Anolis sagrei: one gene and its partners. The protein of the gene in region 3 interacts with the protein of the main gene of each other region in a pairwise test. Links are inferred from orthologs where the notes say so. Each region holds a gene or a part of one and is shown on either strand. Other genes may lie near its edges.

What was found.
Region 1: the proteins of RBFOX2 (region 3) and RNF8 interact in binary tests that used the Homo sapiens proteins (3 or more experiments, as listed by UniProt). The two-hybrid records come from large-scale screens. The link is inferred for Anolis sagrei from reciprocal best matches to the Homo sapiens genes RBFOX2 and RNF8.
Region 2: the proteins of RBFOX2 (region 3) and BOLL interact in binary tests that used the Homo sapiens proteins (3 or more experiments, as listed by UniProt). The two-hybrid records come from large-scale screens. The link is inferred for Anolis sagrei from reciprocal best matches to the Homo sapiens genes RBFOX2 and BOLL.

Annotation. Positions count from the first base shown.
Region 1 is NC_090021.1:47,993,828-47,997,578, reverse strand, and holds the start of RNF8 (E3 ubiquitin-protein ligase RNF8), read left to right. Parts: upstream 1-1,448; 5' UTR 1,449-1,467; coding exon 1,468-1,602; intron 1,603-3,751. UniProt on the Homo sapiens protein: E3 ubiquitin-protein ligase that plays a key role in DNA damage signaling via 2 distinct roles: by mediating the 'Lys-63'-linked ubiquitination of histones H2A and H2AX and promoting the recruitment of DNA repair proteins at double-strand breaks (DSBs) sites, and by catalyzing 'Lys-48'-linked ubiquitination to remove target proteins from DNA damage sites.
Region 2 is NC_090021.1:178,586,189-178,589,939, forward strand, and holds the start of BOLL (protein boule-like), read left to right. Parts: upstream 1-1,079; 5' UTR 1,080-1,101; coding exon 1,102-1,191; intron 1,192-3,751. UniProt on the Homo sapiens protein: Probable RNA-binding protein, which may be required during spermatogenesis. May act by binding to the 3'-UTR of mRNAs and regulating their translation.
Region 3 is NC_090025.1:166,836,498-166,840,248, forward strand, and holds the start of RBFOX2 (RNA binding protein fox-1 homolog 2), read left to right. Parts: upstream 1-1,552; 5' UTR 1,553-1,940; coding exon 1,941-2,141; intron 2,142-3,751. UniProt on the Homo sapiens protein: RNA-binding protein that regulates alternative splicing events by binding to 5'-UGCAUGU-3' elements. Prevents binding of U2AF2 to the 3'-splice site.

The sequences.
Region 1 (3,751 bases), on a different chromosome or scaffold from region 3:
CACGCTCTGGTCACATCCCGCCTTGACTACTGCAACGCTCTCTACGTGGGGCTGCCCTTGAAGACGGCCCGGAAGCTTCAGCTGGTTCAGCGCGCGGCAGCCATGTTACTAACTGGAGCGGGTGGCAGGGAGCACACAACGCCCTTGTTGTCCCAGCTCCACTGGCTGCCGATTTGCTACCGGACCCAATTCAAGGTGCTGGTTCTGGCCTACAAAGCCCTAAACGGTTCCGGCCCAAAATACCTTTCGGACCGCATCTTGGCCTACGAGCCCACGAGGAACTTGAGATCATCTGGGGGGGCCCTTCTCTCGATCCCGCCTGCCTCACAGGCACGTCTGGCGGGAACGAGAGAGAGGGCCTTCTCGGTGGTGGCCCCCCGGCTGTGGAACGCTCTCCCTGCAGACATCAGACAGGCGCCCTCCCTCATGTCCTTCCGAAAAAGCCTCAAAACATGGCTGTTCGAGAAGGCATTTAATTGAGTGCTATAACAATGTGGTAAAGATGACTGGAATGGAACAAGGTATATGAGACTGGTTATGATTCCACTAAGAGACGAAGCGGATTTTTAGCGTAGTTTGTAATTGTCGTATAGTTTATATGTTGTTGTAATTAGCCTTTTGTAAATTGTCTTTATATGTATTGTACACCGCCATGAGTCGCCCTTAAGGGCTGAGAATGGCGGTTAATAAATGCATCAAATAAATAAATAAATAAATAAAGCTCATGCACTTTCAATTGAAATGCACATGGCACTGGACATAAGGTGGCTCCTTCTTTGGAGGTTTTTAAACAGAGGCTGGATGGCCATTTGTCGGGGGTGCTTTGAATGCAATATTCCTGCTTCTTGGAAGGGGGTTGGACTGGATAGCCCATGAGGTCTCTTCCAACTCTATGATTCTATGAACAGGTGCACCTACAGTTCAGAATGAAGGCCGTTTGACCCCACTTTAACTGCCATGGCTCAGTGCTTTGGAACCCTGGGATTTGTAGTTTGGTGAGGGCAGCAGCCCTCTTTGGGAGAGGAGGTTTCAAGACCTTGTAAAACTACGAAGTTTGACAAGAGAGGTAGTTGAAGACCTTGTGGTGGACCCGTGGGAGCTGTAGTTTGGGCACAGAAGGCTCAGACCTTGTGAAACTACAACTCCCACGATCCCACACCACTCTGGCATGGCAGCGGTGCCCAACTGCATCCCTTCAACAGTGTAGGTGCGCCTGAGTCAAGCATCTCACCAGGGTTGAGAAAGGTTTGTTTGTGATACAGTTGCGGTGTAACGCATCATGCACACGCAACAAGGGTGTCTGCCTCCGGTATCAATTGAGCGTGCCTGCGGCTGTCCTGTGTGAGGCGCCATCTTTAATGAGGGACACTTGAAGGCGTAACGGTACGTTGCCCGAAGCAGGGCGGGGCCTATCTATGCTTTGTTCGATTGCTTTTGCCTGCGTCGCTCTCGCGCGGGCGGCGGAAAATGGCGGCGTGTTTTGGCGCCGGCAGCAGCAGCAGCAGCACGAGTAGCGGCCTTTCGGAGGAGCCCGCTCGGCCTTGGTGCTTGAAGCGCGCGGGCCTCAGCGAGGAATGGCTACTACTGGAGAGCGGGAGCGAGGTGAGCGCGGGGCCGGAGGGGACGAGGCGGAGGGCGCGGAAAAAAGAAGGAAGGAAGGCAGTGAGAAGGGGAGAGCCAAAATCCGCCTCCCCGCCTCCTACAGGGGCTCGGACTTCAACTCCCAGAAGCCTCAGCTGCCACGGCCAATGGCCAAGGATCATGGGAGATGGAGTCCAAAGCGTCTGGAAGACCCGAGTGTGGGAAACAACTCTTTATAACCTCATAAAACAAAGCAAAAGTGGGGAAAAGAGGCATTTCTCACTTTGTTTCCAGTTTCTAGGGCGGCATTCTTGAATTTTACCTCAGGGAATACTCCTTGTACTTTTTCCCTGAGGTAACATTCATTTTCTTGAGGTAAAACAATTTCAACAGAAAGGAGGAAACCATGAAAATGACCAAAATCTGGCTACCAGTATTAAAAAAATTCTAAAATTACAACAGCAAAACAACAGAGAGGAAACAATCTTGGACGTCTAATCATCTCTCACCTCTCACTGCCAGGCCATCAAATGCTAATCAAGGTGGTCAGTTGGAACATTCACACCAAGCTCCAACAGACAAGAGTTCTTTGTCCCACCCTGGTCATTCCACAGATATATAAACCTATTTTTCTACTTCCAACAGACCCCACTACCGCTGAGGATGCTTGCCATAGATGTAGGTGAAATGTCAGGAGAGAATGCTTCTAGACCATGGCCATATAGCCCAAAAAAAACCTACAACAACCCAGTGATTCCGGCCATGAAAGCCTTCGACAATACATTAAAATTCGTACTGTTTCTCTAGAGCAGGCATGGGCAAACGTCGGCCCTCCAGGTTTTTTTGGACTTCAATTCCCATAATTCCTAGACTGTTGGGAAGTATGGGAGTTGAAGTCCAAAACACCTGGAGGGCCGAAGTTTGCCCATGCCTGCTGTAGAGGCTGTGTTAATCAGGATAGGCTAGGGATGAAATTATGATTCAATAACAGTATATAAACATGCTGCACTGTTAACCTCACAGCGACAACAAACAGTATGGTGCAAACTTTTAGTAAAGTCGTATTTTCTTATAAGTAGCTTGAGTAACAGCCTACCACAATTCAACAACAATATATATACATGCTGCACTGTTAAGCCCACAGCGACAACAAACAATGTGGTGCAAAACTTTTAGTACAGTCGTGTCTTCTTATAAGTAGCTTGTGGGACAGCCGACCATGACCGGTTTCGGCCTACCTCAGGCCTTCCTCTGGTGGACTAGGCCGAAACCGGTCGTGGTCGGCTGTCCCACAAGCTACTTATAAGAAGACACGACTGTACTAAAAGTTTTGCACCACATTGTTTGTTGTCGCTGTGGACTTAACAGTGCAGCATGTATATATATTGTTGAATTGTGGTAGGCTGTTACTCAAGCTACTTATAAGAAAATACGACTGTACTAAAAGTTTGCACCATACTGTTTGTTGTCGCTGTGAGGTTAACAGTGCAGCATGTTTATATACTGTTATTGAATTATATCATTGTTTATGTTATACAAGTGGTATTTTTGTTATATACATTTCACTCAGGAACCCATCTATATTATTGTATAGGGATGAAATTAGAAATGCCTCCCTCCCACTTTTAGATTGATTTATTATTATTATTTTAATTATACTATTATTATTATTATTAGTTTATTATGCTTGTTTATACCCCGCCCATTTTCTCCACAAAGTAGACTCAAAGTGGTTTTTATGCACAGAATAAAAGTTTAATAATAATAATAATAATAATAATAACAACTTTATTCTGGGAATTCCCGGTGGCACAGTGCATTAATCTCTTGTGCCACCAGGACTAAAGACTGATACGTCAGAGGTTCGACTCCTCTGTCAGCTCCTGCACATGTGGGGACATGAGAGAAGCCTCCCACAAGGATGGTAACACATCAAAACACCCGGGCATCCCCTTTGCAACGTCCTTGCAGATGGCCAATTCTCTCACACCAGAAGTGACTTGCAGTTTCTCAAGTCGCTCCTGACCAAAAAAAAAAACAACCCCCAAAAACTTTAGTCTTATAAACTATCGCCCCGAAGGGACTTGGGGCAGCTTACATATGGGACAGAGTATCCACAAGACATAAAAGCAAAAAACAATCAATTAAAACAAAAACACCATTACTATTA
Region 2 (3,751 bases), on a different chromosome or scaffold from region 3:
TTTTAATCCATTTACCACAAATCTTCCCCATACAGCATCAAAATCGCTTTGTTTCCATATACCTTTTTTAACCTTTAATATACATGTCAATTTATCATTTATTGCTATTTTCCATGCTTCTTTATACCACTCCTCTATTTGTATATTCATTTCTTTTTTCCAATTCCTTGCTATAAGCAGTCTTGCTATAGTTAGTAAGTTTGTTATCGCTTCTTTATCCTCCTTTTTCAATTGCTTATCTTTATATATTGATAGTAAGGCTATACTAGGGCTTTTATCTAATTCTATATTCATTATAGTTTCTATTTCTCTAAATACTTTCTCCCAAAAATTATTTACATATTTACATTGCCACCACATGTGTATATATGTTCCTGGTTCTTGACACCCTCTCCAACAATTTGTTGAGTTATTTTTATAAATTTATAAATACCAAAGGGAAAAAGAAATAAAGAAGATTTTGCTATATGTAATTTATTGAAGCCTTTAATATCTTCTTCATTCACAGAGCCATTGCACAGAGGCTGCGATAAATATTTGCATCACTCTGTCTTACTAATATCTTGTTGAAGGGCTATCTGTGGGGTTACCATACTATCCAGTTGGCGAGATATTATTGGCATTCTAAGCTTGTCAGCTCATGCTCATTTGGAGCATCACCTACGAATATGCCATCCCTAAGACCGGTTATTTGTATCCTTCAGTAAACATGGTAATGACACGTGATCCTATTTTTCCCTCTTGACAGTATGGCACTATACTATGAGATATGTTCTGTTTTGTGGCTTTTGTCGTTTTCTTTTTGTTTTCATGATGTTTTATTATGAAGTTTATAGTACTAATAAAATTTACTATAAATAAAATAATGTGCACAATTATAGTAATTTACATAATATGCATATCGGGTGTCTGGGAAGGACTGGAATATGGCAACCCTACTATCTGTCAACTAAACACATATATGGAATCAGTGGTGTGTGTGTTGGCACATAGTAGAAAGTTGTTGCCAAAATGATACCCAAGAAGGGGGAGGAGGAATGCTGATGGGTGTCAGAAAACTACCCGGCACAGTCAGGCAATGGAAGTGAGGCCAAGAGCCAAATGCTGCTTTCTCCTACTCCTTTGGGGTTTGGAATAAGATACTTTCTCTGCAACCGCGCTTGGGCAGAACAGGATTCCCACTGTCTGGCGGTGAGTGAGTGACTCTCTCCCTGTACACTTTAAGGTATGGACAGATATTGGGGTTGGTAAGTAGAAGTAATCTACGCTCTCGAAAGTTTAGTGTTCTTGTTGTAGGACAAGTTTCTCTGCATGAATGACAGCAACAGCAGGGATAAGGCTGCAGTGTCGAGAGAGTCTTCTTTCCCAAGTATGTCCAATAAACACATATTTCTTTCCCAAGTATATCAAATAAACACATATTTCACTGCCGCCAGAGGTCAAAGTTGCATGTTATCTAATGCAAGGATTGTCTAGCCTTGGAAGAAAAGATGTGATGGCGCATTTAACTAACAAGTAGGAGGAAACTTTAGGGAAGTGCCATGAATTGCAGAAGCGGGCAAAGCATACTTTTAGGAACAGACTGTATCATGGCCAGGCAGAGATTTTGGCATGGTAGAAAGTGGAGAAAAAATATTGGGATAAAATAAATGGCGAGATGCACTGAGGGCCCTTCCACACAGCCAAATAACCCAGAAAATTCCGCAAGATCTGCTTTGAACTGGGTTATCTGAGTCCATACTGCCATATATTCCAGTTCAAAGCAGATAATGTGGGATTTTATTCTGCTGTGTGGAAGGAAGCTGAGAAAAAAAGTTAATATTAATGGTTTAAACTACATGATTTGTTGTTACGCACCTTCAAGTTGTTTGTGACATATGCTGTCCCTAATGTGAACATATCACGGGTTTTCTGAAGCTGAGAGAGTGTGACTTGCTCAAGGTCACCCAGTGGGTTTCCATAGTCAAGTGAGTCATTGTCCAACAACAACAACAACAACTTTATTTATACCCCACCACCATTTTCCCAAGGGGACTCAGGGCGGCATAATAATAATAATAATAATAATAATAATAATAATAATAATAATAATAATAAACTTTGTTTGTACCCCGCCACCATCTCCCCAAAGGGGACTCGGAGCGGCTTACATGGGGCCAAGCCCGAACAAGAATTACAATATAACAATACAAATTGCAATAAAATAAACAACATAACATTAAAATATAAAACATCAAAGCATATAAAACAATATACACAAAACACAGGAACGAAGCATAATGAGAGAAAGACAAAGCTTACATGAGGCCAAGCCCAACAACACATCAGTGAAGCAACAGAGCAATAAGCAAATAAAACAATACAATTAATATAACTCACATATAGGCAATAACACACAAAAATGTAAAAAAAATTAAAAATCTATGGCCGGGCCAGATGGAATAGTTTAAAATTTTAAAATATATACTGGGCGCTTTTGAGGACATTTTGCAAGGAATTGGTCAGAGCAGGGCATTGTTTCCTTTATTCAGGGAAGGCACGCTGGAACAGCCATGTTTTCAAGCTCCTCCTAAAGACTGCCAATGTGAGGGCTTGCCTGATATCCTTGGGGAGTGAGTTCCAGTTGAGGGCCACCATAGAGAAGGCCCTCTTCACTTGTCCCCACCAATCGCTCCTGCAAAGGGGGCAGGAGCGAGAGCAGGTCCTCTCAACACTCAAACTTTGCATCAAGCTGGGTCTAAACTGCAAGGCATAGAGTATGAAAATGCATAATTGTTTACACCTTATACTTTTTCTTATTTTCCAATGTGTGTGCCTTGTTTTTCAAATGTAAGATTACTCCCTCTAGAAAAGCCCATAATGAGTGAACATCTTTGAATGTATTCTGCAGCTGTAATGAGCGAAGAAGAGGAAAAGTAAATCTAGTTTTGTAACTATAGCCATGTTTGCTAATTTGCTGGACCAATCTGTAAATATCACAGTACAGCGGTTATCATACCTGTGAAATTGGGAGTGGGGAACGAATACGTTTTGCCATTTAAGGCACTCAAATACATATTACCAAACTGGCAAATAATTTTGCTTAGCCAAATCGAAGTGGTCTTGAACTTTGTGTGTTTTCACATGATTTCACATATACATTCCCAAAAAGACTTTATTTCATAAAGCCGATATCATAATGTTGCAAAATACAAATGTTTATGGTACAATACACTGCAGATCGAGTATCCCTTATCCAAAATGTTTTGAATCGGAGAAATTTTGGACGTTTTTCCTGATTTTGGAATACTTGCCTTTGAATAGTGAGATACCTTGGAGATGGGGGCCCAAATCTAAATTCAGAATTTGAATTCTGTTTCATCTTATACACATAGCCTGAAGGAAATTTCATATACTATATTTTAAATAATTTTGTGCATGAAACAAAGTTTGTGTACCTTTGAATCACCAGAAAGCAAAAGTGCCACCTATGTGGACAATTTTGGATTTGCAACATTTGGGAATACCTGGTAAGGGATGTCCAACCTGTATTTATTTTTAATTTTTGCTGCTACCAACAGCTTTCATCCTGAAATTCATCATCATCATCGTCGTCATCGTCATCATCATCATAAAAACATGTCCATCAAAGGGGAAAGTATTTTGAATGAGTTTAGGGAGAAAAAGATCCTTAAGAAACCAGCAATTTTCAAATCTAGATCTCTATAAAATTGGTATGAAATAGTGAGCACAAATATGCAAGGCTCATATT
Region 3 (3,751 bases):
CAAAACCCCTGGAGGGCCAAAGTTTGCCTTGTTAGGAATTGTGGGAGTTGAAGCACCACAACTGTTTGGTGTGGCTGAAAGCATTCTGGCAGAAAAAAAAACCATGGTGCCCAATTTAGACACATTGCTGGCACAATGCCTGGCAGCCAGATGACGCGCTTTCCTCCCTTCCCTCCGCCAGACTCAAACTAAGGAGAATAAACATTCCCTCCCTCCGTAGCCCCGCCCCTTCTCTCCTAAACTCTGCCATTCCCGAAGCTTTCCGAGTGAGAGAGTCTCTTTTTCGAGTGCTTTCCGGACATTGCCGAATGTCTTTTTTTTTCCCCCGAGCGCCGTCGGGACTTTCCGCCACAGGCCCCGAGCTGCTTCGGTGCTTCGGCGGGTGTCCTTTTCCCTCTCAGAGAAGCCTGGCTTAATTCTTTCCCTCCTTCGCGCCTGGGCCTCTAGTTCCCTCCCTCCGTGGCCCCGCCCCTTCTAGAGCAGTAGCCCCGCCCCTTCCTCCTCTACTCTCCCATCCCGAAGCTTGCCGAGTGAGAGGGACCCCTTTTTGAGTGCTTTCCGGACATTGCCGAAGGTCTTTTTTCCGAGCACTTTCCGCCACAGGCACCGCCCCTTCTAGGGCAGTAGCCCCGCCCCTATCCCCCGACGCCGCCATCCCGAAGCTTGCCAAGTGTGAGGGTCTCCTTTTTGAGTGCTTTCCGGACATTGCCGAAGGTCTTTTTTTCCGAGCGCCGTCGGCACTTTCCGCCACAGCCCCGAGCTGCTTCGGCGCTTTGGCAGACCTCCTTTTCCCCCTCAAAGAAAAACCTCACTCAGTTCTTTCCCTCAGCGACCTTCTTTCCCTCCCTCCGTAGCCCCGCCCCTTCTAGGGCAGTAGCCCCGCCCCTTTCCCCCCGACTTCGCCATTCCCGAGTGAGAGGGTCTCCTTTTCGAGTGCTTTCCGGAGATTACCGAGGGTCTTTTTTTCCCTCGAGTGCCGTCGGCACATTCCGCCACAGGCCCCGAACTGCTTCGCCACTTCGGCGGGCCACCTTTTCCCCCTCAAAGAAAAACCTCACTCAGTTCTTTCCCTCAGCGACCTTCTTTCCCTCCCTCCGTAGCCCCGCCCCTTCTAGGGCAGTAGCCCCGCCCCTTTCCCCCCGACTTCGCCATTCCCGAGTGAGAGGGTCTCCTTTTCGAGTGCTTTCCGGAGATTACCGAGGGTCTTTTTTTCCCTCGAGTGCCGTCGGCACATTCCGCCACAGGCCCCGAACTGCTTCGCCACTTCGGCGGGCCACCTTTTCCCCCTCAAAGAAAAACCTCACTCAGTTCTTTCCCTCAGCGACCTTCTTTCCCTCCCTCCGTTGCCCCGCCCCTTCTAGGGTAGTAGCCCCGCCCCCTTTCCCCCAACTCCGCCATCCCGAAGCTTTCTGAGAGGCTCTCCTTTTCGAGTGCTTTCCGGAAATTGCCGAGGGTCTTTTTTTTCCCCGAGCGCCGTCGGCACTTTCCGCCACAGGCTCCGAACTGCATCGGCGCTTTGGCGGGCCTCCTTTTCCCCCTCAAAGAGAAACCTCACTCAATTCTTTCCCGCCTGGGCCTTTCGTTCCCTCCCTCCGTAACCCCGCCCCTTGTAGGGCAGTAGCCCCGCCCCTTTCCCCCTGACTCCGCCATTCCCGAGTGAGAGGGTCTCCTTTTCGAGTGCTTTCCGGAGATTGCCGAGGGTCTTTTTTTTTCCCGAGCGCCCTCGGCACTTTCCGGCACAGGCCCCGAACTGCTTCGGCGCTTCGTCGGGTCTCCTTTTTTTCCCCCTAAGAGAGAAAGCAAGAGAGACAAGCCTCACTCAGTGCTTTCCCCTCAGCGAGCGACCTTCCTTCCTCCCTTCCTTCCCGCTTGGGCCTCCACCGGGAGAAGCCTTCCTTCCTCTCCTTGAGGGAAAGCGGGGCGGCCGGGCTCCGGCTCGGATGGCGGAAGGCATCCCGCACCAGCAGCTGGTGCTCGGCGGCGGCGTCCCCTCCTCCTCCTCCTCTTCCTCGGCCGCCCCTCGAGGGCTGAAGCGGGAGCCCGAGCTGGAGCAGCCGATGCCGGGCGGGGAGGGCGCCGAGGGCGGGCAGAGCAAGAGGCTGCGGACCGAGGCGGAGCCCGACGGCGGTGGCGGGATGCAGGTAGGAAACAGAGGCCCAAAAATCCCCTTCTTCTGAGGGAAAACGGATACTGCTATTGCTTCTGCTGTGAGTGGGCCTCAGAGGGCGCGAGGCCCAGCTCTCTCCTTCTGAGGTCTCTCTCTCAGTCTCATTCTGTCTTCACACCCTGGTAACACACCATGCCGCTTTTTTTTCTTTGTAGAAAATGGCGTGTCACCTACGTGTACACCGTCACGTGTGATCTTGGCACCCAGGCACGTCTCCTCATCACCCCTGTGTTGTTGTTTATGGTCGTGAGCTGCTACTTTGAGAGAGACACTGTTAAACAACGCTGTCAGTCTGATCGATGCCCTGAGCTGGACCTACACTGGCCTGCAATGCAGTTTCAGAAGGCATTGAACTGGATTTTGAGAGTCTACACTAGGCATGGGCCAACTTGGGTCCTTCAGGTGTTTTGGACTCCAACTCCCACCATTCCTCACAACCTCAGGCTGGATTTTGAGAGTCTACACTAGGCATGGGCCAACTTGGGTCCTCCATGTGTTTTGGACTCCAACTCCCACCATTCCTCACAGCCTCAGGCCCTTTCCTTTTCCCCCTCGGCCGCTTAAGCGGCCAAGGGGGAAAAGGAAGGTGCCTGAGGCTGTGAGGAATGGTGGGAGTTGGAGTCCAAAACATCTAGAGGGCCCAAGTTGGCCCATGCCTAGTCTACACTGCCGTATCATCACTCCAGTTCATCTGCATTGTGGAACTGCATCACAGGGCTGTGTAGATCGAGCCCTTGCATCTATCTTTATGTGCCTTTGACTCATCTATTGACTCAATGGTGGCAAATAGATCTCATAGTTGTCCACCCCATCCCCCCTACCAGCAGGGAATACTTAGAAGTGATTTTGTAAATTTCTTGACAGATATAATCTACGGCAGTGGTTCCCAACCTGTGGGTCCTGGGATATTTTGGCCTTCAACTCGCAGAAATCCCAACTGCTGGTAAACTGGCTGGGATTTCTGGGAGTTGTAGGCCAAAACATTTGGGGACCCACAGGTTGAGAACCACTGATCTACAGCATTGGTCATCTCTTCATTCATAGAATCATAGAGTTGGAAGAGACATTGTGGGCCGTCCAATCCAACCCTCTGCCAAGAAGCAGGAAAATTTTATTTATTTATTTCAAACATTTATACCCCGTCATTCTCTACTCCCAAGAGGGGAGTCAGGGCAGCTTACAATGACAGCAATCTGATGCCGGCAACATACAAAATATTACAATAAAACCATTAAATAATACATTAAACACATTACAATAAAACAAATAATACATTAAATACATTACAATAAAAACATTAAATAATACATTAAATTAAAAACCATTTAAAGATTATTATTAACCATATAGCCATATCCGAGTTTGATTCAGCGACCAACAGCCCAGTCCAGAGCCTCTCCATAGTCCAGTCTAAAAACATTGTAAAGCAGCATCTGCTTAAAAGTCTCCAAAAAAGGAACCTCCACCACACTCCAGGGCAGAGAGTTCCACTGCTCAACAGCTCTCACAGTTAGGAAGTTCTTCCTAATGTTAGGTTTCCTGTAGTTTGCAGCTGTTGTTCCACGTCCTAGTCTCCAGGGCAGA